Linked DNA regions of Anolis sagrei. The protein of the gene in region 1 interacts with the protein of each later gene in a biochemical or structural test. Links are inferred from orthologs where the notes say so. Each region holds a gene or a part of one and is shown on either strand. Other genes may lie near its edges. The genes, in order: FGF9 and FGFR3.

Evidence for each region.
Region 2: the proteins of FGF9 (region 1) and FGFR3 form a complex in vitro, tested with the Homo sapiens proteins (3 studies listed by BioGRID and IntAct, with this or other methods). The link is inferred for Anolis sagrei from reciprocal best matches to the Homo sapiens genes FGF9 and FGFR3.

Annotation. Positions count from the first base shown.
Region 1 is NC_090023.1:28,762,964-28,778,039, reverse strand, and holds the start of FGF9 (fibroblast growth factor 9), read right to left. Parts: upstream 7,047-15,076; 5' UTR 5,802-7,046; coding exon 5,510-5,801; intron 1-5,509.
Region 2 is NC_090023.1:142,747,541-142,762,787, forward strand, and holds the start of FGFR3 (fibroblast growth factor receptor 3), read right to left. Parts: upstream 7,188-15,247; 5' UTR 7,116-7,187; intron 4,683-7,115; 5' UTR 4,610-4,682; coding exon 4,426-4,609; intron 1-4,425.

The DNA.
Region 1 (15,076 bases):
AGTCCCTGCAAAAAGAAGGAATTTACTGAGGGCAGGGGAACAACTATTGTTTAACATAGGCCTAGGCCAACTTGGGCCCTCCAAGTGTTTTGAACTTCAACTCCTAGCATTCCTGACAGCTGGTAGTTTTGGACTCCAGGTGTTTTGGACTTCACTTCCCACAATCCCTAACAGCCCCAGGCCCTTTTCTTAAGCAGCTGAGGGGGAAAGGAAGAGGCTTGAGGCTGTTAGGGATTGTGGGAGTTGAAGTCCAAAATACCTGAAGGGAGGGCCCAAGTTTGCCCATGCCTGCTCTAGTCTCACAAGGAGTAAAGGATGCATTCATAACATCACAGCATGTACATGGAGAAGTTGTGGTTGTTGTTAGACTCCAACTCCTATCAGCTCCTCCCAAACCTCCCCTTACTAGGCTTCACAAGGAAAGATGAATAGCAGGGAGAGGCAATGCATCAAGTCACATCATGTCCTCTCATGTCCTCTCTTTCTGTCACCTATTAACTAGAAATGGGTGAACAGACCCCCATTTCACAGAGGGTGCAGCAGCAGGCATAATTTTTACCATCTGCTGGATAAGCTACACCTTACTCAAACTCTATCCTTTGCTCTGTCTGCTTACCTGTACATTTGGTCTCTTACAATAACTATTACTTGCCCACCCTGGTGAAGTAGTAGATGTGTTTTCCGTTAAAGAACTTTCTAAAAATCCAAGAACTATTTTAGGACAATATCCCAATTGTGTTCCAAACATAATAATAATAACCTGCCCTTGATCCAATATGGAGTCCAATATGGAGTTTAATATCTTTCTTAAGGCTACTTTTTCTTTCATAAATAAAGAAATATTCCTAGGATGGGTGACACCTGCGTGAAAAGAGTACCTCTGAAAAGGATTTGGAGGTTTTAGTAGATGACAAACATCAACAGTTTGATGTGGCAGCTTAAAAAGCCAATGTGATTCTAGCCTGCACCAACAGAGGTGGGGGGAAGTCCTGGCACCACTCTAGTCCACTTTTATCAGGCCTCACCTGGGATACTATGTCTAGTGAGAGCAACATTTTAATATCGGGGTGAGAAGGGCGGCATATAAATGTCGTAAATAAATAAACAGTGCTGGGCACAACTGATGGAGGACATTGACAAGCTGGAACATGATCAAAATGATCAAGGATCTGGAAGCCAAGTTCTATGAGGAGCGACTCAGGGAGCTGGATATCTTTCGATGCCTTCCCTCTGCATCAGATCTGTGAGGAGCGTCTTCCTCCCCTGGAAGGGCGGCGGGAAGCGGCAGCTGTCGAAGAGCAGGGCGGGGCCTAGGACCCGGCGGCGGCCTCCTGCCGGTGCCGCTGCCAAGGCCACTGTGCGAGGGAGCGGGGAGCACCAGCTCGGCCGCCGTACACCTGCTAGCGGCGTGAGCCCGCCGGCTGCCGCGGGGCTGAACCGCAGCGTGTGCAAATCTCGCCTCTTCACGCACCAGAAGCTCCCCGGCTTTGGATCTCGGCCCAGCCAATCGGCCGCCAAGACCGCAGCCGCGTCCTCCTGCCTCCACGCCGCAAAACCCAGCCCAGCGCAAGGTCTCTTCCTTCTCCCGCTTCCCTGGACTCTGTTTGGGGTCTATCTATCTCCCTCCCTGGGCAGGTCTTTCCCACCCACCTCAAGCTTCCATCTCTCAGGGGAGGTCCCATTTGGCCCACTCTTGGATCAGGCATGGGCCAACTTGTATCTCCCCACAGCCACCCGCTTTAGGGCGCATCTCTTCTTTCCAGGCAGCGGTATGATCGTAAAAGCTCTAATAAAACCATAAAAGAAAGGGTTGTGGATCTCACAACCTCTGAGGATGCCTGCCATAGATGGAGGAGAAACGTCAGAAGAGAATGCTTCTGGAACATGGCCATACAGCCCGGAAAACACACCACAACCCAGTTGTAGATCTCATTCATAGAATCATGGAGTTGAAAGAGACCTCATGGGCCATCCAGCCCAACCCCCTGCCAAGAAGCAGGAAAATTGCATTCAAAGCACCCCCGACAGATGGCCATCCAGCCTCTGTTTAAAAGCTTCCAAAGAAGGAGCCTCCACCACACCCCGGGGCAGAAAGTTCCACTGCTGTTAGGAATGGTAGGAGTTGACGTCCAAACCATTTGGAGGGCCCAAGTTTACCCAGGCCTGGGTTAAAGAATGGAGACTCCTGTTCCCCGCCAGATAATAACTCTCCAGCGGCTGAGGGGGCGGGGGGAGGAAGGGGTCTGAGGTTGTTAGGAATGGTGGGAGTTGAAGTCCAAAAGACCTGGAGGGAGGGCCTAAGTCAGCCCATGCCTGGTCTAATTGGATAGAGCTCCAAGTGACTCCACGCCTGGTCTTCTGCTGTGTTCTTGCGTGCCTTCAAGTCGTTTGAAGGCACACAGGAGGTTCTCTTGACAAGATTGGTTCAGAGCCTCAGAGCCTCCTCAATCACTTAAGTGGAAAAGGAAAGAGCCTGAAGTTGTTAGGAATGGTGGGAGTCCAAAACCCCTAGAGGGAGGGCCTAAGTTGGCCCATTACTAGTCTAACTGCACTAACATGACTAGTCTAACTGCCTCACTGTGCCTTCCTCTTAGGTTGACCAAGCCTGGCCTGTTAAGGTCACTCAAGGAAAGGAAATCTCCACGGCCAGCAGGAATAGGAATGGTGGGAGTCCAAGTCCAAAACCCCTGGAGGGAGGGCCCAAGTTGGCCCATGACTAGTCTAACTGCATAGAGCCCCAAGTGACTCCACTCCTGGCCTTCTACTGTGTTCTTGTGTGCCTTCAAGTCATTTGAAGGCACACAAGAGGTTCTCTTGAGAAGATTGGTTCAGAGCCTCAGAGCCCTTCCTTTCCATTCTCAACCACTTAAGCAGAAAAGGAAAGAGCCTGAAGCTGTTAGGAGTGGAAGTCCAAAACCCCTGGAGGGAAGGCCCAAGTTGGCCCATGCCTACCTGGCCTGGCCTGTTAAGGTCACTCAAGGAAAGGAAATCTCCACGGCCAGCAGGAATAGGAATGGTGGGAGTCCAAGTCCAAAACCCCTGGAGGGAGGGCCCAAGTTGGCCCATGCCTAGTCTAACTGCATAGAGCCCCAAGTGACTCCACTCCTGGCTTTCTGCTGTGTCCTTGCATGCTTTCAAGTCGTTTGAAGGCACACATGGGGTTCTCTCGACAAGGGATTCAGAGGAGGGGTGCCTCACTGTGCCTTCCTCTTAGGTTGACCAAACCTGGCCCTGTTAAGGTCACTCAAGGGAGGGAGGTCTCCACGGCCGAGCGGGAATAGGAATGGTGGGAGTCCAAGTCCAAAACCCCTGGAGGGAGGGCCCAAATTGGCCCATACCTAGTCTAACTGCATAGAGCCCCAAGTGACTCCACACTCCTAGCCTTCTGCTGCATTCTTCAAGTCGTTTGAAGGCACACAAGGGGTTCTCTTGACAAGGGGTTGAGAGGAGGGTTGCTTCACTGTGCCTTCCTCTGAGGCTGACCAAGTGTGACCTGTTAAGGTCACTCAAGGGAGGGAGGTCTCCACGGCCGAGCGTCTCTCCAGAGTAGGACGCTCAAGCCACCGTCTCAGGCGAACTCTTCAGTGCTGAGTCACAGAAAGGATTCTTCGGAGCTTCGGGGAAAGGGGCGGGGAGGGGGCGGCCACCTGCGCGGCTCTTGCCCGGGCTGCCCGCGTATTCAGGCCAGCGACCACCAAGCGACGGCGTGGCTTAGGAGTCCGCAGAGCGCGTGGGGGGGGGGGGAGATCTCGGCCGGATCTCAGGCAGGCAGGCGCATATCGGCGCGCTCTTGGCAAGTGGCGGGGGTGCAGGGGATCCCCCTCGGTGGGGGCGGGGTCTTTCCTCGCGCCGCTTTGCCTTTCGGGCAGGTGGAGGGGAGCGGGGAGGAGGGGAGGAGGGGCATCTCTCTGTCTCGGCCTTCTTCACAGCCCGCCCCACCCTCCAAGGAAAAGCAGAGGGACGTCCCCCGTCCCGACCCCCCCCCGTCCCCCCGTCCCGTCCCCCACGCAACCCGTCGGCTGAGGAGGAAGTTTCACCGAGTTGGGTCCAGCCTGACTCTTCTCTGCAGCAGACCCACTGGAATCAAATGGGAACTGGAGGTGACCAGTATCATCGCCCTCTGCAGATTCAACCCATCGCCAAGAAGGAAGTCAACACCTAACAGTGGGTCTGCCCTAGATGAGACCAGCATATTAGGCCAAGAGATCTATCTATGCCTGACTAACAGGGCATCCACACCGTAGAACAGGCATGGGCAGATTTGGGCCTTCCGGGTGTTTTGGATTCCAACTCCCAGCATTCCTAACAGCCTCAGGCCCTTTCCTTTTCCCCCTCAGCCGTTTAAGTCTGCCAAGGGGTGCCTCACCAAACTACAACTCACATGATTCCACAGCACTGAGCCCTGCCAGTTTGAGGCGGTGTCAATCTGCACTCACTCTACAGTGGAGATGCATCCAACCCCAGGGAGGTCAAGAGCATTTCTTTAGGAGTCTAAAGGTGCTCATAAAACTGCAGCTTCAAAATGGAAATATATAATAAGAGCGGAGGGTTCCATCCTAAAATTATTATTATTATTATTATTATTGCAATAGCATTATTATTGTTATAGTTTACTACTGATTGTGCATAACAAGCATGGGCAATCTTCGGCCCTCCAGATGTTTTGGACTTCAACCGGCTGTTAGGAATGGTGGGAGTTGAAGTAAGTTGAAATAAGACCAAAGCACCTGGAAGGGACTAAGTTTGCCCATGCCTGGTCCCTACACCCAAGCCTGGCCGCCTGCTGTGCATTTATTTATTATCAGAATTAGTATAAAACCGATAAAAATAGAAGGAGTGCAGGTGGCTAAATATCTTTGACCAAAAACGGGCAACAGCAACGGCATTGTCTGCAGCCTCCAACAATTCTGCCTCTGTACATGAGGCAGGGCATAGTGGACCAGTACACAGATGCGGAGTTGTCTGTTCTGCTCCACAGTGACACAAGGTGGGGGATTCTTTTGGGTTTTGCCAGGTTGTCCTTTGATCTGCCTACTCCACTTGTTCAGGGACTTCCAAGTTGCCCATTCGGGGGGGGAGGGGGGGCATCCAGTTGGGATTTCCTGGTTGAGCTGCCCAGAAGGATACCCTTGCTGTCGCTGGGGGGACGCCAAGAGGAGTGGTCGTTCTCATAAAGCCTTTCCTTGATTAGGGTCTACTGGGAGGAGACTGGTAGCCATGTAGTGGGTGGTTTTCACAGTGTTCAACCTTTTTTTTCATGTGCACTTACAGCTATGGATTTTTCCCCTTTGCTTCAAAAAAATGATGTCCCTGGCGCATCCCATCTGCAACTCCTGGAGGCTCCCTTCCCTCCCTTTCAAAGCTCTTCCACAACTATAACCGTGGACATGGACTCCCCCCCCCTCCTCCTCCTCCTCCTCCATGCCCTTGCCTCCCTACCAGAAGAGCCACCAACTTCTCTCCTGGCCCCCCTTTTCCCCCCGCCCTCCCCCTCCTGGCCCATACCTACCAAATCGGCTGTGGTCTTGCCTGGTGCCTTGGATGGTCCCATTGGGGAAAATCTCTAAATGGAAGCCAGTCCTGCAGTAGAGCTGCCTGCGCCTCAGGATGCCCTTTAAGTGGTCCAGGTCCGTCACGGCCGGCCCACGAGGCAGCCCCTCGGCCTGGCCCAAGTGGTCGCTCAGCAGGACCGGGCTGTCCGCCGGCAGGACCGGCATGTTCCCGAAGGGCGCCCCCGCCGCCGCTGCCGCTGCCGCATCCGGGACCCCGAAATAGTTGCCAACTTCTCCTAAGGGAGCCATGAGGAGGGGGAGGAGGAAGGAGGGAGGAAGGAAGGAAGAGGGAAGGAAGGAAGGAGGGAGGGAGGGGGGAGGTCCCTCGCTTGCAGCAAAACCGTCACGTCTGTGCCCAAGAGCCAGGACTCGCGGTTCTCTCCCGTTTCCCTTTCACGCGAGGAAAGGAGGCAAAGCAGGTTGCTGCGCCGCCACTCTCCCCTCCCACTTCCACGCCGAAAGGTGACTTCTTCCTTTAATCCATCAATGAGGATCAAGGCGGGGTCCTCCGAGGCCTCCTGCTCTCCTTTCCTGGCTGGGTCTGGGGTTCAAGGTCAACCCCTTAGGAAGCGCCCTCCGCCGCGGGGGACGCGCGTGGGCTCATCCTCCTCGCGCCCAGAGCCAGCGGAGAGAGATCCGGCTCGTGTGTTCCCCTGGCAGGGCTCCCTTCTAGCAAGCGGTCAGCTCTTCCGCCCATCCGGCCGTCATGAGGAGGAGCAGGGGGGTCCCGAGTTTCTCCGTGGGGCTCCGCATCGCAACTTCGGGGCCCTGAGGCCGAGGAGGAGGTGGAGAAGAAGGGGGGCGCATGGATCAGGGGCCGGGAGGAGGTGCAAGGGAGGGAAAGAAGCCTGGGAAGAGGCGCAGAGGCCAACCGGCCGCCCTCGGGGCTTCACGGGTCCGAGCCCCAGCCAAGCATGCGCTGTTTGGACTCTCTGCCCAGAAGGAGAGGAGGAAGAGGAGGAGGAGGAGGAGGCGAGGGGGGGGGGTCTCTCCCTCTCCCAAAGGACCCAAAAATCCAGAAAAGGGGCCGTTTGGTTGCTTCACTGCTTATTTATCAAGAAAGAACTTTTGACGTCCGGCTCTATGATCCAGGATCCTGAGGAGGCGGCTCGGCGCTTCAGCCTGGCGTGGATCCTCCTCCTCCTCCTCCTCCTCCTCCTCCTGTTCCACGCGAAGCAAGGCAGCCCTCCTCCTCCTCCTCCTTCCTCCTCCAGAGAGCTGCCGGTCTTCCCCGCTGGGCGCCCGTGCGGCGGAACAGGTGTAGGCAAGCTCTCCGCAAGGCTGCCTCTGCTGGGGCCGCGGCTGGTGCGGCGCCTTCTCGCTCTCTCGCCCGCTCTCCCTCGCTCTCTTTCTTCTCCCCCTCGGCTGTGTCTTTTCCATCCAAGCTCGCAGGGGAAAGTGGCGCAGGAAGAGGCATTGGGTTGGGTTTAAGGTAGTCCAGCTTGCGGGCGGGAGAAGGAGAGGGGGGGGGAGAGAAAAAAGGAGGGAGGGGAGGCCCAGAGGCTTCCCCCAGGTCCTAGCGCGCAACCTTCACCTGCGCAGCACCAGAGAGCCGCCGCCGCTCCCTCCCTCCCTCCCTGCTTCTCTCCTTCCCTCCGCCTCCTCCGTGACATCGAGTGGCCCGCTCGCTCTTTTTACTGCTCTGCGGCACTCCCGGCTCAGGCTCAGCCGCGGCTTGGGGAAAGAGGAAGAAAGGAAGGGGGGAAGCGCCAGGAACTTGGAAACGGAGCGACTTGTGGAACTGCAAAGATGCAGAATGGGGGGCAATGCCTGGCTCGAGAGCAGGCATTGGGGTCCTCGTGGACAACAAGTGAAACAGGAGCCAACAGTGTGATGCGGTGGCAAAAAAAAGCCAACGGGATTTTGGCCTGCATCAGTGTCTAGATCCAGGGAAGTCATGCTACCCCCCGATTCTGCCCTGGTTAGACCACAACTGGAATCACACAGTGTCCAATTCTGGGCACCACAATTGAAGAGAGATATTGATAAGCTGGAATGTGTCCAGAAGAGAGCAACTAAAATGATCAAGGGTCTGGAGAACAAGCCCCATGAGGAGCGGCTTAAAGAGCTGGGCATGTTTAGCCTGAAGAAGAGAAGACCGAGAAGAGACTTGTATAAATATGTGAGGGGAAGTCATTGGAAGGAGGGAGCAAGCTTATTTTCTGCTGCCCTGGAGACTAGGACGCAGAGCAATGGCTTCAAACTACAAGAAAGGATATTCCACCTGAACATTAGAAAGAACTTCCTGACTGTGAGAGCCGTTCAGCAGTGGAACTCTCTGCCCCGGAGTGTGGTGGAGGCTCCTTCTTTGGAGGTTGGATGGCCATCTGTCCGGGGTGCTTTGAATGCAATTTTCCTGCTTCTTGGCGGGGGGTTGGACTGGGTGGCCCATGAGGTCTCTTCCAATTCTATGACTCTGGTGCGAGAGAATTGGCTGTCTGCAAGGATGTTGCCCAGGGACTTCGGGATGTTTGATGTTTTACCATCCTTGTGGGAGGCTTCTCTCATTTCCCTTCATAGGAAGCTGGAGCTGACAGAGGGAGCTCTCACAAAGGGACCCGGTGCAAGGCAGGGTTAAACCAAGGGGCGATTTAGACCTACTGCTCCCCTGGACCTGAGAGTTGGGGCGGAGGGCCCGATCTGAGGCGGGCTTCCTCGGAGATCAAGCCCTCCCCACTTCCGAGTCCCTGCCCTGCCGCCCCAGACCCTGAACAGCGCCCACATACACTCCCAGGCGGGTTCATGGGGAGGAAAGCGCAGGTGGGCAGGATTCACGCCCCGAGAAAGGTCCGGCGCACGTGTTCCACAGGGAGGCGCGCCCAACGCGATCGACCCACGCGTCAAACCGGGATGAGAGGGGGACCTTCTCCGACACAATGCTCCCGGGATTTAGCGAAATGGAGAAAGAAGAGGCAAGAAGGGAAGGCGCAAGATGTCAACCCCGACAGGCTTAGTGGAAAGGGTTTTTTGTTTGTTTGTCTCTGACTCTGAAGAGCGGGGTTCGGATCCCCGCCAAGCCACAGAAACCCACACCGGGTGACCCTGGGCATGTCAAACATTTCTGCCCCAGGGCACACCAAAGCAAACGAGATCCAAATAAACCATGTCAAGAAAGCCCCGTGACAGATTCGCTTTTGGATCGCCATGAGTTGGAAATGACTCCAAGGCACATCACAAGGCTAGAAAACTACTTGAAAACATACAACCAACAACATTGTTCTGACCCACCAAGTGACATGTCCAGATGTGAAACCAGTGAGCCATTTTCTCTCCTGCATATCATCAGAAATTAATGGTAATCTTCCCCATTCGGCCATCCCTAAATTTGGGAAAGGAAGAGATTGGCAAAGAAAGGAAAAAATGAACTTTGCCTAACTCAGTGTTCCCAAGACCCACTGGTGGGCCACAAGACCTAAAATAAGGTCTACTGCGCCAGATTATTCAATATGGTCTTCTGTAGACAAGTAGATGGCAACTACTGGATGGTATATGTTCTGTAGAGCTGATGTTGTCTATCCAATGCAATTTTCTGAATCAGCACCCCAAATAACCACACCGAATCTAAAGTTTACCAAAAACTGATTCGTAACCCTTTTGGTACGAATGTTGGAGAGTGATCACTGGTCAAAGTGGTCCTGAGTCAAAGTGGTCCCTGGCCAAAGTGGTCCCTGGTCAGACTGGTCTCTGGCCAAAGTGGTCCCTGGTCAGACTGGTCCCTGGTCAAAGTGGTCCCTGGTCAGAGTGGTCCCTGGTCAGAGTGGTCCCGAGTCAAAGTGGTCCCTGGTCAAAGTGGTACCTGGTCAAAAAAAGGTACCAAGGGAACCACTGGCCTAATTGGATATGTGCATTATGTGCATTATTATCTCTGGCCCAACCCCTGTTCGAGTATCAGCCAGCACACCAGCGCCCTAAATCAAGAAATAGTTTTCTAAGTTCTGCAGAGATACTCTCTGGAACACCTCAGCAAGCGAGAGTCCAAAGTGACAGGCCTAAACCTAGAACCTCAATCAATGGCTGATACCAAATGAAAGACTCCCTCCTGGGCACATAAAAGACTGGGCGACTTGGAAGCCGCTGAACAGACTGTGCTCTGGCACCATGAGATGCAGAGCCAACCTTAAGAAATGGGGCCACAAAGTGGAGTCCACAACATGCGAGTGTGGAGAAGAGCAAACCACTGACCACCTACTACAATGCAACCTGAGCCCTGCCACATGCACAATGGAGGACCTCTTATAGCAACATCAGAGGCACTCCGTGGCCAGCTACTAGTCAAAGGACATTTAATAGAATGCCAAGTTTGCAAACTTTGTGTGTGTGGTTTTTTTAAAAATGCAATACAATTGTTTGGTTCACTCCTGACATGATAAATAAATAAATAAATGGTCAAGCAAGATCTGAAAAGCATACCTGGTACAGGTCAACTGCCAGAGTGAATGAATATGGACAGAGCCTGAGAACTTTACCTTTCTCCATGAGAACCTATCTACCACCAGAATCCTCTACTCTTCCTCCATGATTGGGAACCTTTAGATCAGGCCTGGACAAACATGGGCCCTCCATCCAAATGTTTTGGAGTTTAACTTCCATCATTCCTAACAGCCTCTTCCTTTTCCCTCTCAGCCACTTAAGTTGAAGAAAGGGCCTGTTAGGAATGGTGGAAGTCCAAAACACCTGGAGGTTCCAAGGTTGTCCATGCCTGCTCTTGAGATTGCAGTCCAATAAATACATATTTCCAAGTTCTGGGCTCTCAGGCCAATGGCACTAGATCTCTAAACTATAACCTCCATGAGAAGCTTTTTGACTATCCTCTGGTTAAGCCAGTGTTCTCAACCTTCCTAATGCCGCAACCCCTTAATACAGTTCCTCATGTTGTGGTGACCCTCAACCAGAAAATTATTTTTGTTGCTACTTCATAACTGTAATTTTGCTATTGTTATGAATTCTAATGTAAATATCTAATATGTAGGATGTATTTTCATTCACTAAACCAAACTTGGCACAAATACCTGATACGCCCAGATTTGAATACTGGTGGTGTTGGGGGTTAATTTTTGTCATTTGGGAATTGTAGTTGCTAGGATTTACAGTTCACCTACTATCAAAGAGCATTTTGAAATCCACCAATGATGGAATTGAACCAAACTTGGCACACAGAACTCCCATGAGCAACAGAAAATACTGAAAGGGTTTGGTGGGCATTGACCTTGAGTTTTGGAGTTGTAGTTCACCTACATCCAGAGAGCACTATGGACTCAAACAATGATGGATCTGGACCAAACTTGGCACAAATACTCAATATGCCCAAATGTGAACACTGGTGGAGTTTGAGGGAAATAGACCTTGAAATTTGGGATTTGTAGTTGTTGGGATTTATAGTTCACTTACAATCAGAGTATTCTGAACCCTGCCAACTACAGAATTGGGCCAAACTTCCCACACAGAACCCCCATGACCAACAGAAAATGCTGTGTTTTCTGACACTCTTTCACGAACCCCCCAGGTGTCCCACCCCGAGGTTGAGAAACACTGGGTTAAGCCTTGCATTTGGAAATGATTGCAGAAATTCCAGTGGTTCTTCTTGTTCACATTTGGGGGCCAGAGTTTGTTGTTGATGTGAACTGCCTCTTATTCTTGGTGACCCTATGAATGATAGACTTCCAAGTCATGAAGAGCCCTTCTACCATACCAAGCATTATTACCCTTTCTAGTGAGTCATCTCTTCTCAGTCTGAAGGCCTCTGACATTTCCAGATCTGAAGGCATGTGGATTCCAGAGGATCTGAGACTAAACACTGTTTCAAATTCACCCTTTTGAGACCATATCCTTGTGACCTCGTTGTATAATTGAGGGATTTAGTTCAATACTCTTGGGGATCCTGCATGATTTAAAAGGATGGTCTTGGTTCAGCTAAAAGTAGTCCATGGCAACTGCATTTTGAATCAGACATCCATGGGTGACCCTATCATTAGGCAGAGTGAGACACTTGTCTCAGGCAGCAGATGGTAGGAAGAGGCAGCAAGCTGTTGGGTGAGATCTAGGTGCCAACCAGCTTCCACCGAAATAAATCCAATCAGACATTATACCTGAAGTGGTGAGGACACCATTTTTTTCCTTTGCCTCAGATAGTAAGTGTCTTGGGCCAGTCCTGTGGATTACTATGTAGCTGTCAAGGAGAAACACAAAAATAATAGACCTATCGATTTCATTTCTCCCACAGCATGCAAATCAAATTGAAAGGCTACACAGACCAGAGAAGGCAAATTTGATGGCTTGGGTCTTTTTTCATTTGCTTTTGAATTTGCATTTAACAATGTTCACAGGTATTATATTAGGATGCTTGCACAAGTGACAGGCACAATATTATGTACCAGCTTATATAAAACATATGACAGCATGTTTACTTGGAAGAAAGCCCACTGAACATTTTAATAAATATGCAAATGACCAGGACACAAAAATTGGGGTTTTTTTCTTCTGAATTGTACCTCCTATGATTGTCATTCTGAAATTAATTTTATTGGATCTAAACAGAGACACTCTTTGGGGAAACCCACTGGCATTTATAGGACTCAAATTAGTCATTGTGAAATTCAGTCTTATTGTGTTTCTATTGGAAATACAAATAAGGATTCAGTCCACCAATTTATATACAGTTGTGGAAACCTGTGAATTCTGCATCCATGGATTAAGCCATCCATGGCTATAAAATATCATCCTTCACCTGCAAAAACATTCCAAAAAGCTAACCTCGATTTTGCCATTTCATTTAAGGGCAACTATTTTATTAAGCTACTAGCCATACCCTGCCACGTGTTGCTGTGGCCCAGTCTGTGTATATGTGTTTTGTGTGTGTATATGTGCATGTATATATTTGTGTATATGTGTATATGTGTGTTTGCATATATAAATATGTGGTTTTGTGCATGCGTTGTAATGTAATTTTGGGATTTTTTTTTTGCTTTTTAAGTCTCTTCCACTGTGTTTTTCAGTGTTTTATGAGTGATGATCACTCATTGGTCTGATAGGTGTCTTGTGTCCAAATCTGGTGTCAATTCGTCCAGTGGTTTTTTGAGTTATGTTAATCCCACAAACTAACATTACATTTTTATTTATATAGATTGAAAAGAATGCAATTTTGGCATCTAGGGGTCTTGAAACCAAACCCCAGCAAATACCAAGAACCCACAGTACAATTTTTGGATCAATGGATTAGGAAAAAAAGTGTAATATAAAATGAGAAAGAGGATAATATTAATAGGGAGATAGGGAGATAGAAAATTGGGGATATCTACAGAATTTATACTTGCTATTCAAGTATTCAGCTATTGAAGCTGTGGTGGTGCAGTTGGTTAAACCACTAAGTGCAGAACCTGCTGACCAGAAGTGGCTAGAAAGCCATCTGTCAAGATGCTTAGCTCAACTTTCCTGCCTTAAGGCAATAGTGAGCTGGACTAATACCCTCTGTGTTATTTCCTATGGTTGCATTTACCTAAACAAAAAGCAAGACGTATTAGGTAATTCTTACCAGTTTCTCAAGGAAACTTGTATCTTGTCTGCACTGCTCCCACCCCCTATGTACAGAAATTTCATTCCCCAATTTTTATTTGCTGTGAGGATCATTTTCAGCAAAGCTTTGAATCAATTTATTCACCTTTAGTCAAACATGCAACCTGCTTTTCAATCATTCAAAAGGTTGTAGTCATAAGAACACAAAAGAATACCTTATCCTGAATCAGGCCATTTGTCTGTTTATTCCAGTATTGTTAACTTTGACTAGCAGCACTACCTTCTTCCTAGCCCTCCTTGAATACCCTTGCTATATGCTCCCTGGTTAGCCTCCTGTGGCCCTCAAGATGTCATTGACTTCAGTTCCTATTGAAGTAATTGACTTGGTAACACCAATATAAATTATATAATGGTGTAAATTGGATTTTCACCTTTATAACTAATTTTTATAGAGGTTGTATAGGTTGGAGTGTTGGTCTGACATCCCATGACACTATCCCTTCCCAAAACATTTTGTAAGCAGAACATCTCCTACAATGTAGCAATGTCAAGGATGGGGGAGGAGGGACACATTCAGCTATAATTTTTTGAACATGCTGCAGGGACCTCTGGAGGTCTGTGCCAATGCATATCAAGGCACATTCGGCTATAGGAAAATAGCTGGAAATGTCACCACTCATTCCCTACTCTGCAACAACACAGAGGGCACTGCTTACAGGATGGGGGAGGGAGGTGTAACTATGTGATTCACATACACCTTTCAATGAGAATTTAGCCTTAGCATCTGCAAAGACTGAAGGGTGATTGAATAAATAAATTTAATTACAACATTTATAGACATCTTGTAGTGTGTGAATCCCTCACTGTCAATGAGAATTGTATTGAAAGTATTTATGGTTTTCCAACAGATGTTGTCTCAGGTAGGTTGTGTGGTGACAGAGCTACCAATGGAAGTGTGTGCTCCACAGCTCTACTGATTTATCATCCCAAATTACTAAAGGGGTCAGAAGACAGTTCCACTTTGTCTCCTGTGCTATGTTAATAATGTAACGTAATGTAATGTAATATTTTTTAAAATCATTACATGTAGCCTGCCCATTGTCATTGTGTTTGTGCTTACTGTAATTTTATATTGTTATGTATTCACATGTTTTATGTAATTATGATGTTGTTATTGTTCGCGTTTTCGGTTTGCGTCTTCGGTTTTTCTTTATTGTAATTGTTGTTCAGGCTTGGCCTCATGTAAGCCACTCCGAGTCTCCATTGGGGAGATGGTGGCGGGGTATAAATAAAGATTATTATTATTATTATATATTGTATATACATATATTTATAATATTATAATGTAATGCAATATAATACTAATAATAAAATGATATTATAATATATATTTATATTACATGTAATATTACTAATAATATTACAATATAATGGTATAATACAATATAGTAATATTTAATACTGATATTGTACTATGCTAATAATATAATATATTGTGTGTGTATGTGTGTGCGTGTGTGTATGTACGTGTGTGTGTGTGTGTGTGTATAGTAAGCTGCTCTGAGTCCCCTTTGGGGTGAGAAGGGTGGCATATAAATGTCATAAATAAATAAAGCAGAAAAGAAAGGCCCACCATAGAATCAGAACATTTGGGTGATATTATTCCTGAAAGGACCAGCACTCCATTAGGCAGAAAAAAGTGACAGATGCTGGGGCAGGTGTAACACTGGAGTACAAGAGGTCTTTTGCTCACAAATACATAAGGGAACAAAGTGCATGTCTGAGCAAGAAGCTGTCCAACAGGGCACCTACTTTGCCGCATAAGAATGTTTCATTTGCCTGCTTGCAAGCTGCAGACATTATGATTATGATGTTGTCTGATAGGTCTGATGCAAGTGAACTTTCCACATGGTTACTCTAAGGGTATCCATGCCGTAAGGGGAGGAAATCTAATTGCTCCGGAAATTGCCATCAAACTGTCTGAGGAGTATGGAGAACCATGGTCGGTGGGGCCA
Region 2 (15,247 bases), about 110 Mb from region 1:
TGGGTAAGCAATAAGATTTTCTTTTACAGACAGATTTCATTCATGTGTTGCACTTTACACTAGATAATACTCTGCATATTGGACACCCAGTGGCACAGTGGGTTAAACCGATGAGCTACTAAATTTGTTGACCAAAAGGTTGCGGGTTCAAATCCAGGGAGCGGTGTGAGCTCCTGCTGTCAGCGGGAAGGTAATGGAAAGGTAACGGGACTCCAGCAGTCATGCTGGCCACATGACCTTGGAGATGTCTACAGACAACGCCGGCTCTTCAGCTTAGAAATGGAGATGAGCACCAACCTCCAGAGTCAGAGACGAAGACTTAATGTCAGGGGAAAGCCTTTACATTTACCTAGTAACTACGATTACACCAGGTTCAGCTAAGTGAACAGAACTCTTGCGTTCCCAAGTCTTTGCCACATTTATTGAGAATGAAATACATGATTGAACAGAATCATAAATGAATACAGAATGTAAAATTGTTCATATGGGAGACTGTTTTATACAGCAGAAAATCCAGGCTCATTGCCTCATATATACTTGCCACACTTAATCCTGTCTCATGATGTGACATGTTTGTTGTATTTACATTTATGAGCATATCTTAAAAAGCACAATCATTTGTTAAGAAGCCAGTTCACTGCATGATATGGAACTGAGTTCACAAAGGTGGCCAGTTACACCTCTCTAGAAATAGAAAAAAAGCTAAAACTGCTTCCATCAAACACATTTTTTAAGACTCTAATGCTACTAAGATAGATTCTGTCAAAAGTTTGAAAAAAATTAGACCATTCATTAATAGAGGTCAGTATGAGTTTTATTGTACTTCCAATGGTGGCAGCAATATGGGAACTGAGGCAGGGGAAACCCCTGCTTTAGAAATGCTTATGTCTAAATTCTATTCTAGCAATGAGATTTATTTCCAAAATAAATATGGGATTTCTGTCCCAACGACAAGAAAGATTTTAATGCTATAGGTTATGTTTGCAATTTTTTTTAAAAAAACAAAAACCTTTGAATCAGTGCTAATCTAAATCTAGGAGACCTCCATGGTGCAACAGGTTAAAGCACTGAGCTGCTGAACTTGCTGACCAAAAAGTTGGCGGTTCGAATCCAGGGAGCGGAGTGAGCTCCTGCTGTTAGCCCCAGCTCCTGCCAACCTAGTAGTCTGAAAACATGCAAATGTGAGTACTGCTCCAGCAGCAAGGTAACGGTGCTCCATACAGACATGTTGGCCACATGACCTTGAAGGTTTCTACAGACAACGTCAGCTCTTTGGCTTTGAAATGGAGATGGGACCACCCCCCAGAGTCAGACATGACTAGACTTAATGTCAGGGAAAACCTTTACCTTTACCTAAATCTAAGTAATTCCAATCAAAATTAATTCACTAGGACTAAGAAAGAAAATTCTTTAAAATCTGCTGGCACATCATCATAATGCTTCAAGCATGGCTAAGAAAATATACCAAAAGGAACCTAGCATTTTACCAAAACCTCCAGAAAGCAAAATTAGGGCTCTAACCAGATATGATGTAGAAACACTGCCCCTATTCTGAGTTGCTACGGAATATATTTACCCTAGCTGTTTTATTTTTATAACAAAAAATATGTCAGCTTTCCCCCCAGATATGCTAATTTGAGGATGAAAGAAAGGGGTGGGGGAGAAACTGGATTCTACTTTCTACACTTTTTATTGTTTTCCCAATAAAAGGGCATCACTGTCCTGTGAAGCTCCATTTACCAAACAGTAACGCCTCACTATGTCAAACTGGGTTTTTCCCTAGTGAGATATGCTTACAGTGCTTGTCGAAATACACTAAATTTTGTCGACTGATATTTTTTCCCCAAATAGCCTTTGTGTTAAAGATTGTTGCTTCTAACTGTTATTGTGCACTGAAAGGAAACTTTTGGAGATTGTAATAAACACTTTCCTAGTTTAAGCAGCTTGCTACAATAGTTGGCAATACAGTGCACAAAGACAGTTGCGCATGTAAAACATTAAGCACAAATATCTACAATCTGGCTTATTTCAATGTTCAGTTTTTCCAAGCACAACAGCACAATTTTGCCTCTCCATTGCTTCCTTTATAAGCTTCAATATAATACTGAAAGGTATCACACTACAAAATCCAAATGCGTCACACATGATATCAGAAAATGGTCTCACATTAAGGAAGTGCTTCTCAGGGTATTAAAGAGTGGAGTCAGAATCTGGTAGTACACCTGGTAGTACATTTGTGTCCATTGGCTGCACCTGTTTCTTTCTTTCCTGAAAGATTTCTGAGGACCAGCAGCCTATAGTTTGCGTGCTAGCAAGGGCCGTGATAAGTTGCGTTGCATTTATGGTAGGTGTTGTTTAATGAAGAATTTAACAATTTAAAAGAAGAAAACGCTTATTTTTGCATGGTTTGAACATTCACTGTTTCAAAAACAGAAATCACTTAAAGTTTGCTAGGGTAGATCCTCCCTCACTCAGACTCAGCCCCCCCCCCCCCCCCGAATCAAAATCCTGGCTACGGGCCTGAGCTACTTAGATGTTTAAAAGTAACTGTTATAGGGGGTGGGGCTGAGGGCCCTTCCAGGCAGGCCCTATTTTCCAGGATTGGATCCCAGGTTTTCTGTTTATCCCAGATTATCTGGCAGTGCGGACTCATATAACCCAGTTTAAAGCAGAAAACCTGGTATCATATCCTGGGATATAAGGCTTGCCTGGAAGAGCCTTGAGTTTGACCAATGGCCAGCCTGGTACTGAAATATTTCTGCTGGATTAATTCGTTTGCAAACTGACAAGAGGCTACTTTTCAGACCACTGTGAAGGGCAGAGGAATTTACCCGAACCTTAGAAAAGGACAAGTGATGAGTGTGTGCACATACAGTGAATACCAGAAAAATAGTTCATTATTCTTTTACAACAACAATTACTTCAAAACACAAAGCACCAACAGAATAAGGACTACCTTTTCTCAGAGAAGCTACAAACTTCAGCTACTTCATACAAGAAGAGGTGTACAGCTAGAGCCACCACATCTCCCCAACTCCCACCCCTACAGCAAGGCAGAAGGGGACACTAGCATTTTATTTCCACAGAAGCAAAAGAGAAAGTGTGCACAGTAATATTGGTGAAATTGTTCAAAATGTGTATGTGTGCATGCATGGGGATGACTGCTGCCATTTGAAAGTGAATTGCAAAGGCTTTAAAGCGCATGTGTCAAACTCAAGGCCCATGAGCCAAAATATCTTGTCATGTCATTTTATATGGCAATTCAGATGCTGGACTATAACTTCTGTATTCCTCAGCATTAGACATCATGACTAAAGCTGAGGATAATTGTGATATAGCAGCATTAGAAGACTCCAGTTTGGTCTATTTAGTCAGGAGAGTGGGGTTTGAATTTAGTTACAAGGCTTTTGTATATGATGCCTGACTTTAAAATGTCCTTTGACTTTTCCCCAACCTCAGAGCCACAAGTGCTGTTGGGCTGCAATCCCTATTATTCCCAGTCCGCATGGCAGATAATCCAAAATGCATTGTCATTCAATAATATCTGGGGACCCAAATGGCATAAAAACTAAAGAGCACCAACCAGAAAGTAAAACATATATTTAGTTGGCCTTCTATGTTCACAGATTCTCTGTCATGGATTCAACGGCCTTAGGTACCGCTACACTGGGAAGGTAAGGGCACTCCATGCATTCATGCTGGCCACATGACCTAGGAGGCATCTGTGGATAACCCCAGCTCTTCAGCTTAGAAATGGAGATGAGCACACCTCCTGCCCCGACTCGGACTTGACTAGACTTAATGTCGAGGGGAACCTTTACTGTACAAAAGACTGACCTTCTATCACTAAACTGTTACATTGATATTATGTAACACAATTTTTCTTCTTGGGTAATAAATGCCATGTCCAAATTGATTCTATCATAAAAACATGGGAAAAGTTTATTCAACTGCAAAAGCTTTGTTTTGTGGAACATCCTGCAGTACACTCTGCATTTTCACAGTCTCAACCAATTCAACACAGTTTCTGGCAGACACAAAAACAAAGTTTCTGAACTATAACAATGACTTTCAAAGTAAGTATTGTACAATTAAATAGGAAAAAACACTTTCAAATCAGGAACAGGAAATGTTTCCAAACTCCAGCATGATTCCATCAGTTGCAAAAGTAATCTATGTTTCTCCCAACTTGAAACTGGGGCATGCTCAGGAGGAGCAGATAACTACTAGACTAGCCAGCCAAACAGGAGCAGTTCCTTCGTGCTACCTTGTCTGTAACACAGTACATTTGACAGACTGAATGCAAGGGCTGTTGATGGCAAAGGGACAGGAAGGTAAAAGGATAGCTAGAGATCCCAGCAAGAAACAGCACATGGCTCATAGCGGAGGGTGGAAATAGCTCTTCTGTTCCACAAACTTTCTTACCTGATGGCTCTCTGGTAAACCTGTTTTCAGGGTCCGAAGCGGATGGTCGGGCTGAGGGGAGGCTGCTGACGGTTGCCACCAGGAAAAAGCAAAGCAGTGCTCCCCACACTGCAGGCATTCCTTGCCCAGAGGAGCCACCCTGGGCAGTGATTGTGGTGCTGCTGTGGTGGCCAGCCTCAGCCATCCTCCAGATGCATGCTGCCCCTTCGGCTGGATTGGAGGGCCTCCTTTTGGGCCCCACAAGGTCTGGCTACACCCTGCAAGAAGACACAACAGGCAGACATCTGAGTGCTTCCAGTCGGTTGCAAATCAAGCTTGCTAACTGCACCCTTGACATTGGTTAACAGAGAATGGTTTTCTTCTCCTGCGCTGGACATTCCACAGGTATATATACTCCACTTCAGACCCGCTGAAGATGCCAGCCACAGATGCAGGCGAAACACCAGGAGAAAATGCTGTTAGAATACGGCCGGACAGCCCGGAAACCACACAACACCCCAGTGATTCCAGCTGTGAAAGTTTCGACAACACATTAACTGGGTTGCTGTGAGTTTTCCAGGCTATATGGCCATGTTCCAGAAGCGGTCTGAAACACGGCTACACAGCCTGAAAAACTCACAGCAACCCAGTGATTCCTGCCATGAAAGCCTTCGACAACGCAATACACTAAGTAGTTTTGGTTTTTAACCTAAGGTCTGGAAGCTTCCACGTGCCACAGGTCTCCCCTTGATAAGGTTTAAGATGAGGGATGTTTGAAGGGGACATTCTCCGCTCTCATTGCCACATGTGAAAACTATGCAGTTTCTGACATTTCTTCTATGGGATTGACTCTTACTTTGACCTCCAGCGATGGGCCAGGTATCCCTATACTGCCTTATGAAATCCAGATTATCTGTTCTGAACTGGATTACTTATTTTATTTTATTAATAAACTTTTATTTGAGAAAAAAATACAGTTATATAGACATGTACTATACATTCCCTCTCTTTTATTTACATTCACCCCCGGGTTGACACCGCCATACAATCCAGTTCAAATCAGATAATCTGGATTGTATACATTTTTATGCCAATGCTTTTCATGTCAAGCCGCTTTGAATCCCCTTTGGGGAGATAAAGCAGGGTATAAATAAATAAATATAATAATATATTTCAAAGGCTTTCATGGTCAGAATCACTGGGTTGTTGTGAGTTTTCCAGGCTGTATGGCCATGTTCCAGAAGCATTCTCTCCTGATGTTTTGCCTGCATCTAGGGCAAACATTCTCAGAGGTTGTGAGATCTCACAACTTCTAGGGATGCCTTGCCTTAGATGCAGGCTAAATGTCAGGGGAGAATGCTTCCAGACCATAGCCATATAATCTGGAAAACTCACAACTCACAATTATTATTATTATTATTAACTTTATTTATACCCTGCAAAATCTCCAGAAGGACTCGATGCGGCTTACAATGGCCAAGGCCTGTGGGGATGCCTGCCAACCTCTGGGGATGCCTGCCATAGTTGCAGGCAAAATGTCAGGGAGAATGCTTCTGGAACATAGCCATAGAGTCTGGAAAACTCACAACTCACAACCTCTGGGGATGCCTGCCATAGATGTAGGCGAAACATCAGGAGAGAATGCTTCTGGAACATGGCCAGACAATCTGGAAAACTCACAACAACTTACAACCTCTGAAGATGCCTGCCATAGATGCAGGCGAAATGTCAGGAGAGAATGCTTCCGGAACATAGCCATACAGTCTGGAAAACTCACAACAACTCACAACCTCTGAGGATGCCTGCCATAGATGCAGGCGAAATGTCAGGAGAGAATGCTTCCAGAACATAGCCACACAGTCTGGAAAACTCACAACAACTCACAACCGCTGGGGTTGCCTGCCATAGATGCAGGAGAAATGTCAGGAGAGAATGCTTCTGGAACATAGCCATACAGTCTGGAAAACTCACAACCTCTGAAGATGCCTGCCATAGATGCAGGCGAATTGTCAGGAGAGAATGCTTCTGGAACATGGCCAGACAGTCTGGAAGATTCACAACAACTTACAACCTCTGAAGATGCCTGCCATAGATGCAGGAGAAATGTCAGGAGAGAATGCTTCTGGAACATAGCCATACAGTCTGGAAAACTCACAACTCACAACCTCTAGGGATGCCTGCCATAGATGTAGGCGAAACATCAGGAGAGAATGCTTCTGGGACATGGCCAGACAGCCTGGTAAACTCACAACAACTCAAATATAATAATAATAATAATAATAATAATAATCAGATGGCAGTGTAGAGGGGGCCTCAGGTTGGATCCGCATAGCTCTATAACGCTGTTTCAGAATGCAGACTGAACTGGATCCACACGGCCCTGGAATCTGCAAGCCGTGTGGATTCAGCCCCAGCGAAGCCGCAAAGAGCGGAGGCGCTGAGTCAGAAAAAGCGGTCGAGAGGGACGCCAAGCTGTCCGCCTGCAAAACGAACGAGTGTCAATTGAAACCCACGCCTACCCAGCCTTAAGGCACCAGGTCCCCCCTCAACACGGGTGGGACACCGTCCGCGAGCGCCAGGAGGTTGAGGAGACTTGTCAGAGGAAGGACTCTGAGGGCTCCTCGTCAGAGAACATTCAGGTGAGTTGTTTCCCCCGCCTTTTTACCCCTCCCAGTCTGCCTGAATTCCCCCGTCCATCCCGCGGTGCCTACCTGGGGAGAGGGAGAGAGCGGGCGCGAGAGCGAGGCTGCTGCCTTCTGCCACCGCAGCTGGAGCCCTTCTGCGCCCAGCCCTGCGCGGACCGCCTCGCGCGGAGGAAAGGGGCGGAGCCGAGGACTCCCCGCAGCCAATGGGGAGTCGCCTTTCCCTCCTTCCCTCCCGCGCGCGAGGCAGGGGCACAGCGCGCGCTCACCCCTCTCCCTTCCCCGGGGAGACTACCTGGGAATGCGCACCAGGAGCCGGTGCAGGGAATGTCGATATGTTCTCCAGGTAAGAGCAATGACTCTGTTCCAGGTAAGCATTCCTCTTCATAGCCCCACAGCTGCAGGACGGACTGGACTCTGCTGTGTCCCAGGAAGAGCAGTCACTTGAGACTTCCATTGACTGAAATGTATGTATATATTTATTTATTTACTTAGTTCAAGGTTCCTCAAACTAAGGCCCGGGGGCCAGATACAGCCCTCCAAGGTCATTTACCAGGCCCACACTCGGGGGCAACGTAAGTCCGAAACGACTTGAAAGCACACAACAACAACAACAATCCTATCTCATCAGGCAAAAGCAGGCCCACACTTCCCATTGAAATACTAATAAGTTTATGTTTGTTAAAATTGTTCTTCATTTTAATTATTGTATTGTTTTTAAGTGTTTTTGCACTACAAATAATATGTGCAGTGTGCATAGGAATTCATTCATGTTTTTTAAAAAATTATAATCCTGCCCTCCAACCGTTTGAGGCACTGTGACCTGGCCCTCTGTTTAAAAAGTTTGAGGACCCCTGACTTAGTTAAAGGTAGTAAAGGTTTTCCCTTGACATAAAGTCCAGTGGTGCCCAACTCTGAGGGTTGCTGCTCATCTCCATTTCTAAGCCGAAGAGCTGGCATTGTCCGTAGACTCCTCTAAGGTCATGTGGTCAGCATGACTGAATGGAGTGCCCATACCTTCCCACCGGAGCGGTACCTATTGATCTATTCACATTTGCATGTTTTCAAACTTCTAGGTTGGCAGAAGCTGGGCCTAACAGCAGGAGCTCACTCCCCAGATTCGAACCTGCAACATTAAGGCTAGTAAGTTCAGCAGCTCAGCGGTTTAACCCACTGTGCCACCAGGAACTCCTTTTTTATTTACCTTATTTATATCTCACCTTTCTACCTTGAGGGGGACTTAAGGTGGCTCACAACATACAATCTATATAAATAAAAATGTAATGTTTTTTGCGGGATTAACAGTTTTTTGTGGGATTAACAGTGGTTCAAAAACCACTGGATGAATTGAAACCAAATTTGGACACAATATACCTATTAGGCCAATGAGTGACCATCACTCATAAAAACACTGAAAAACACAGCGAAAGAGACTTAAAAAGCCCCAAAACAAAACAAAAAACATTAAAACGCATGCTCAAAACCACATATATACACAAACACACATACACACACACATATATATACACGCACATATATATACACAGACTGGGCCACAGCAACGTGTGGCAGGGGATGGCTAGTATCCAACTACAAACATGGTTTAAAATAAAAAATAAAATAAAATCCATTTCAATGAATCACGTCATCTAGAGTCAGAGTCCAAGGCCATTCCGTAGTCACACTGCACATATTGAAAGGGGATGTTGATACCATACCAAGTTTTATATGAACTACTAACATATGTCATCATCATAGGCAATAACTTGAGGCCAAGTATGGGCCCTTCCACACAGCCATATAACCCTGAATATCAAGGCAGATAATAATAGTAATAATACTAATAATATTTTATTATAGCCTACCACCATCTCCCATACAACATATAAAATGCAATATATCAACATTAAAACCAAAACACATTTAAAAGCAGACATATAAAATTAACAAGAGCAATAGAATCGATAAAATATGGCAATAGTTGTTAATTAAAAATCCATACAGTCAATCTAGCCTTCCCTGGCTAAAGATAGTTGTCTGGCTGCTATCTTAAAGATTTCTTTATTATTTATTTACGACATTTATAGCCCACGTTTCTCAAGCATATGGCGACTCAAGGCAGGTTACAGATTGGCACGATTCAATGGCATGCATTCATAAAAGTGCGATTAAAAACAATCAACATAACAATATAAAACATATATAAAAACCATATCATCTTGTTGAAAACATTATCAAAGGCCTACAGAAAGGACCAAGTTTTTAGCTCTTTCTAAAATCCACAATATCTGCTTTGAACTGGATTGTCTGAGTCCACGCTGCCATATAATCTAGTTCAATGTGGATTTTATACAGCTGTGTGGAAGGGGCCTGTGATTGTCTTGGCCCTGGGTCCATATGTGACTGTAGAGATCTATTGTGGATCCATATAGTCTTTCGCAATGAGGACATAGATTTCCAGATGGAAGGCGGTCCTGACAAGGGTTAGCTTGAGGCGCTTTCCTCTTGACACTTTCTCCCTTTCACCCTCCATTCATACCTCAAAATCCACAGCATTGTTGGTAGCAGCTGACCTCCAGTTACAATATTTATTCCACATTTTTAAAGGTTTGATTTAAATCTCTTGCTGTCCACTACATATAAATATGTGAAATGGTGTCATAAGGAAGAGGGAGCAGACTTGTCTTCTGCTGCCCTTGAAACTAGGACTCGGAGCAATGGGTTCAAATACAGGAGAGGAGATTCCACCTGAACATTAGGAAGAACTTTCTGACTGTACAGGCTGTTCAGCAGTGGAATTCTCTGACTCAAAGTGCAGTGGAAGCTTTTAAACAGAAGCTGAATGGTCATCTGTCAGGGATACTTTGATTATGCTTTTCCTGCATAGCAGGGGGTTGGACTAGGTGACCCATGTGGTCTCTTCCAACTCTATGATTCTATGACATTCCATTTTCCATTCTTTAGCTGAGTATACTTGTCTGCCCACTGACTTTCCCCCTTCTCCAGCTCTGAGAAGGCTTACCAACACTCTAGCAAGGGTGGGCAGGCTCTCTTTGTGGCTTTTTTCTTTCCTTCCTCCCTCCCATCCCCTTGTCACCCCGTGACATCACAGAGGGCCACTTCACCTAGCAATCACCTTTTCTGGTTCAAAGAGTCATGCGAACATGCTTTAACTTTTATATATAGAGAGTTGTGAATTGAAACAATGGTGATTAACTTGTTGCGAGTTGAACTGATCAATTACATATTTTCCCAGCATAGTCTTCTCATTCCATGTTTTTGCAGTAATCAGAAGTGCAGATAAGAAGCATGTCTCGTTTCTTCTTTTCTCAAATGACTATACTCGTAACTTTAGTCAGAAAGACTGATTACTGCTTCCTAATCACCAAATGAGGTTCCTGTTACTAATGGTTCAAAAAAGGGTGTGAAACGTGTAGTTTCCCCGTCATTCCTCATCCTGCTGCCTCTGCTGATAAAAGACTTCTGGAATTCCCAATTCAGCACCATCTGGAGGGCTGCATAATTCTCCCCTCTGGGTTAAACAAGATATTACATCAAGTTGGTTGTTCATTATTGAATAAATTAAGTTTGGTGGATACTGACATGCAGGTATTACGAGCTACTTGTTGACATGCCTGGTTAAGCATGAATAGTAGCTCAGCTGTCATCTGAACGGATGGAAGCTCATTTAGAAAATAACAAATTACTTTGCTATGCTACTTAAGAAGGCTATCAAGGCAGAAAAATCACTTATGGAGGAGAACAAGAAGGCAGAATGACTGAATGATGCTCCTGAAAGTGGTGGATTCTCCATCTTTGGAAGTCTTTAAATGGAGATTGACAGGTCATTTTTCAGGATTGCTTTGTGGTCTCTTTTAACTCTGAAGATTCCATGTTTCTGGCTGCATAGGACCTTCTGGGGTTCACACCTGGAGACTTCTTGTGTTCTGGGCCTAACCTGGAGGAGGACCCTGTCCCTGAGCTGAGGTGTGCAATCTTAGCTCTGCTTTCAAGAAGGCTGGCTCCCATCCTTTGCATCCAAGTTTAAGTCGTTGCATTGCTGAAGTTCCAAATCTATACCTAGCTGTCTACATGTGGCATTTCAAAGATGGCTAGGCTTTGATTATTTACATTAACCGAGGCCCCAACTGCATTGCCATATACTGCAATTTGAAATTGCATTACATGGTCAGTGTAGACTCATTGTAGCTGCATTGAACTGCAATATATGAATCTCCTTCGACCAGTTTGAAACTGCAGTATATGGCAGTGTAGATGGGGTGTGAAAGTGCTTTCCTTCAGCCCTGGTGAGCATAGCAATTGCTGCAGAATGCTGAGCGTTACAGCCCAAGAGCAGGAATTCCCAATCCCAATGTAATGGCACCAGCCATTGTGACACATTTGCCTCCCTGCCTACTGCTCTATTGACATCTTTTATATACATATATTCTATATACACATAATAGAACACTATACTGCCCATCACCCAAATGAAGGCTTTCATATGGGGACAATTTCATCCTAGAGTTGATGTGTTTCTGACTCCCTCAATTGGTGTGTTATTTACATGACCCTGCCCACTGCCTTAACTCTATCCTACCTTTTCCTATGGCACACAGCAAACAGAGAGGAATCAATTAGCAACTGAACATACTGTGGAGGGGGTTGGGGGACTAACTCAACATGGTGGGTTTTGTAGTTCACCCTGCATCAAGACAGAGCACTGTGACCCCCACTGACAATGGACCTGGACCACATTTGGCACACAGAACCCCCATGACCAACAAAAAATACTGGAGAGCTTTGGGAAGAATTCACCTTGATTTATAGGAGTTGTAGGTACTGGGATTTATAGTTCACCTGCAATCAAAGAGCACTCTGAACCCCACCAGTGATGGTCATGAGGGTTCTTGGCACACAGAACCCTCATGACCAATGAAACATACTGGAGGTCTTTGGAAGGATTTATAGACGTTGTAGTTCACCTACATCCAGAGCGTACTATGAACCCCAACAATGATGAATCTGGACCAAACTTAGCACATATACCTGATATGCCCAAATTGGAATATTGATGATTTTGGGGGAGAGTTGTAGGTACTGGGATTTATAGTTCACCTGCAATCAAAGAGCACTCTTAACCCCACCAAAATGGGAATTAGACCAAACTTAGCAGACAGAACCCTCATTGCCATAAAAAAATACTGGAGGTCTTTGTGGAAAATTCACCTTTATTTGGGAGAGTTGTAGTTCACCTACATCCAAAGAGCATTGTGAACCCAAAAGCCGATGGATCTGTAACAAACTTGGCATGCATACCTGATACACCCAAATTTGATTACTGCAGGGGTTTGGTAGGGATTGACCTTGAGTTTTGAGAGTTGTAGTTCTCCTACAACCAGAGAAACGATGACCCTTACCGATGGACCTGAATCAAACTTGGAACACAAAATCCCCATGGCATGCTGAATATACTGGAGGGGTTTGAGGGGAACTGATCTTCATTTCTGGGAGTTGTAGTTCACCTACATCCAGACACACTGACCACCACCGACAATAGACTGGAACCAAACTTAGCACACAGAATCCCTAAGACCAACTGAATCTACTGGAAGAGTTTGAGGGGACTGACCATGATGCGAGTTGTACTTTACCCTGGAACCAGAGAGCACACTGGACTCCACCAATGATTCATCTATAGCAGTGGTTCTCAACCTGTGGGTCCCCAGATGTTTTGGCCTTCAACTCCCAGAAATCCTAACAGCTGGTAAACTGGCTGGGATTTCTGGGAGTTGCAGGCCAAAACACCTGGGACCCATAGGTTGAGAACCACTGATCTAGAGCAAACTTTAATCACTGATTGAGCATCAGGGGGTTAACCTGGCATGATGTGAGTTGTAGTTCACCCACAACAGTATGCATTTTGTAAAATAAAAAAATGACTTTCTCAAATAACCTGGGCAACGCCAAGTACTCAAACTAGTAGTCTATAAGGCAGGGCTGAGGACTGATGATCCTCCAGATGTTCTTGGACTTCAACTACCAGATTTCTTACTGTGGGCTGTGCTAGGAGCACTAGTCAACACTTGGAGGGCCATACAAGCACCTCACATGATTTAAAGCTAGGAGAAAAATTAATAATTTCACCATTAAAGCAGAACAGTAAGCTTGCTATGCTTGTCTGATACAGTTCCACTATGAATTAACTTACAAGTTCCATTGAGCTTTGTAAGTTCAGCCTAAATAAATGGAGGAGGAGGAAGAAGAGGAGGATCCAGTCTGAACAGGACTGGGAAAATGATCTAAATTCCTCAAAGAATGTGTGAACACTTTGTGGGCAATGTGTATTATTTGGCACTTGACCATGGTTGCTGCCTCACACCTCTCCTGTGCCAGCCCTGTTGCCTATGCTCCGTTCTTTTCTTGGTTCATCACAGTTATCTTCCCTGTAATGAGGACTTTTTTCTATTTTCCCCAGATCTCAAAGCAGCAGAGGGAAACATCAGTGGACTACTAGCTAGGCACGCTACTTCAAGCTACACTGTGTGTTTACATCTGCCTTATTTCTACTATACTTCTAAATCAGCAAGAAGCATAGCTACCAATGGCTACTCTTTGAACACATTTTCCAACCATTATGCCTCTATCTGAGAGCATTTCCATCTGTTCCCTATTTAGTCAGTTTGCCATTCAGAATATCATGAGGTATCTTATCAAACACTTCGCTGAAATCCAGACAAAGGATTTCCCAGTGTTTCCACACCTAATAAATTAGTGTTTTGATTTTTAAAAGAAAGATAGAAGGCAAATATACCAACTAATCTCCTCACTATCACTAAGATGTTTAAAATGAGACTCCTGCAAAACCTAATATTTTTCCTAGTATTGAGATCAGGCAACTGGCTTCAAGACTGCTGGGTCATCTTTTCTGCCTTTTTTTTTTTGAAGACAGGGACAATATTTGCTCATCTCCTATCCTCTGGCACTTCATTCATTGTGCAGTGTTTCTCAGGAACGATTCTTGTGGTTGTGTATCTATGTCGACAGTTCCTTCAGGACTCTGGGATATAGTTCATCTGACCCTGCAGATTTGAATTCATTAAATAGGTAATTCCTAAGTCCTTTTCAATCTTGATTTGCAGTCTGGATTCCTTGCCAAGTCTCTGGTGGTGCATGGAAGGACACAGTCCTCTTGGCAGAAAAATAATTAAAGCAAAATAAGTATTGAGCAGTTCTGCCTTTTCATTCATTCTTATCTGTTACCATTTTATCATCCTTGTTGGGAAGTGGCCTCACTATTTCTTGCTTTGAACATACTAGAAAAAACAACAACATTTTTATTGCTGTTTGCCTAGCCAGTCCCAGCTCTTTTTTAGTTTTAGCTTTCCTCCCACTATTCCTGCAAGCTTGGGCATGCATCTGTTTTCCTCCTTGGTGATTTGACCTTCCTTTCATTCTTTGGTTTTTCCTTCTTGCTTAAGTTTAGTGTGCAGCCACATGGACTTTTTCAGATGCTTCCCATTTTCTTCCATGGAATTGTTTCTGACTGTACTTTTAGCAGTTCCTTCATAAAATCCCACCCATGCTGGGTTTTCCTTTGGCACCTTTGGCCATGGGATTCTTCCCAGTATTCCCCTGAGCTTGTTTAAATCAGCTTTCCTGAAAGCCAAGGTTCATGTTTGACTACTCCAGAGGTTCCCAAACTTTTTTTGACCAGGTACCACTTGAACAGGGACCAGTTTGACCAGGGACCACTCTCCAACTTTAATACCAAAAGAGCTATGAATCAGTTTCTGGTCAACTTTGTATTTGGTTATTTGGGGTGCTAATTCAGAATATTACATTGGATGAACCACATCAGCTCTAGTTTCTGATACAGAACATATGCAATCCAGTAGTCGCCATCTGCTCGTTCACAGAAACCCATGTTTAATAATCTACAGCTGATGTGGTCTATCCAATGCAATTTTCGGAATCAGCACCCCAAATAACCCCAGGAACAGACCTAAAAATGAAGATACCAAGGTGCCTCCGCTTCCCGGTGCCACATGGAATGGCTCCTCTCAGGAGGAGGAGAAGCAGCAGTCAGGAGCCTTGTTGTTGCACCTTTCGTGGGTAGTCAGCCTCTCCTCTTCCGACATTCCCGTTGCCTTGGCACTATAAGAGGGTTTTGCAAGACCAGTCACTCTCATTGCACCAGT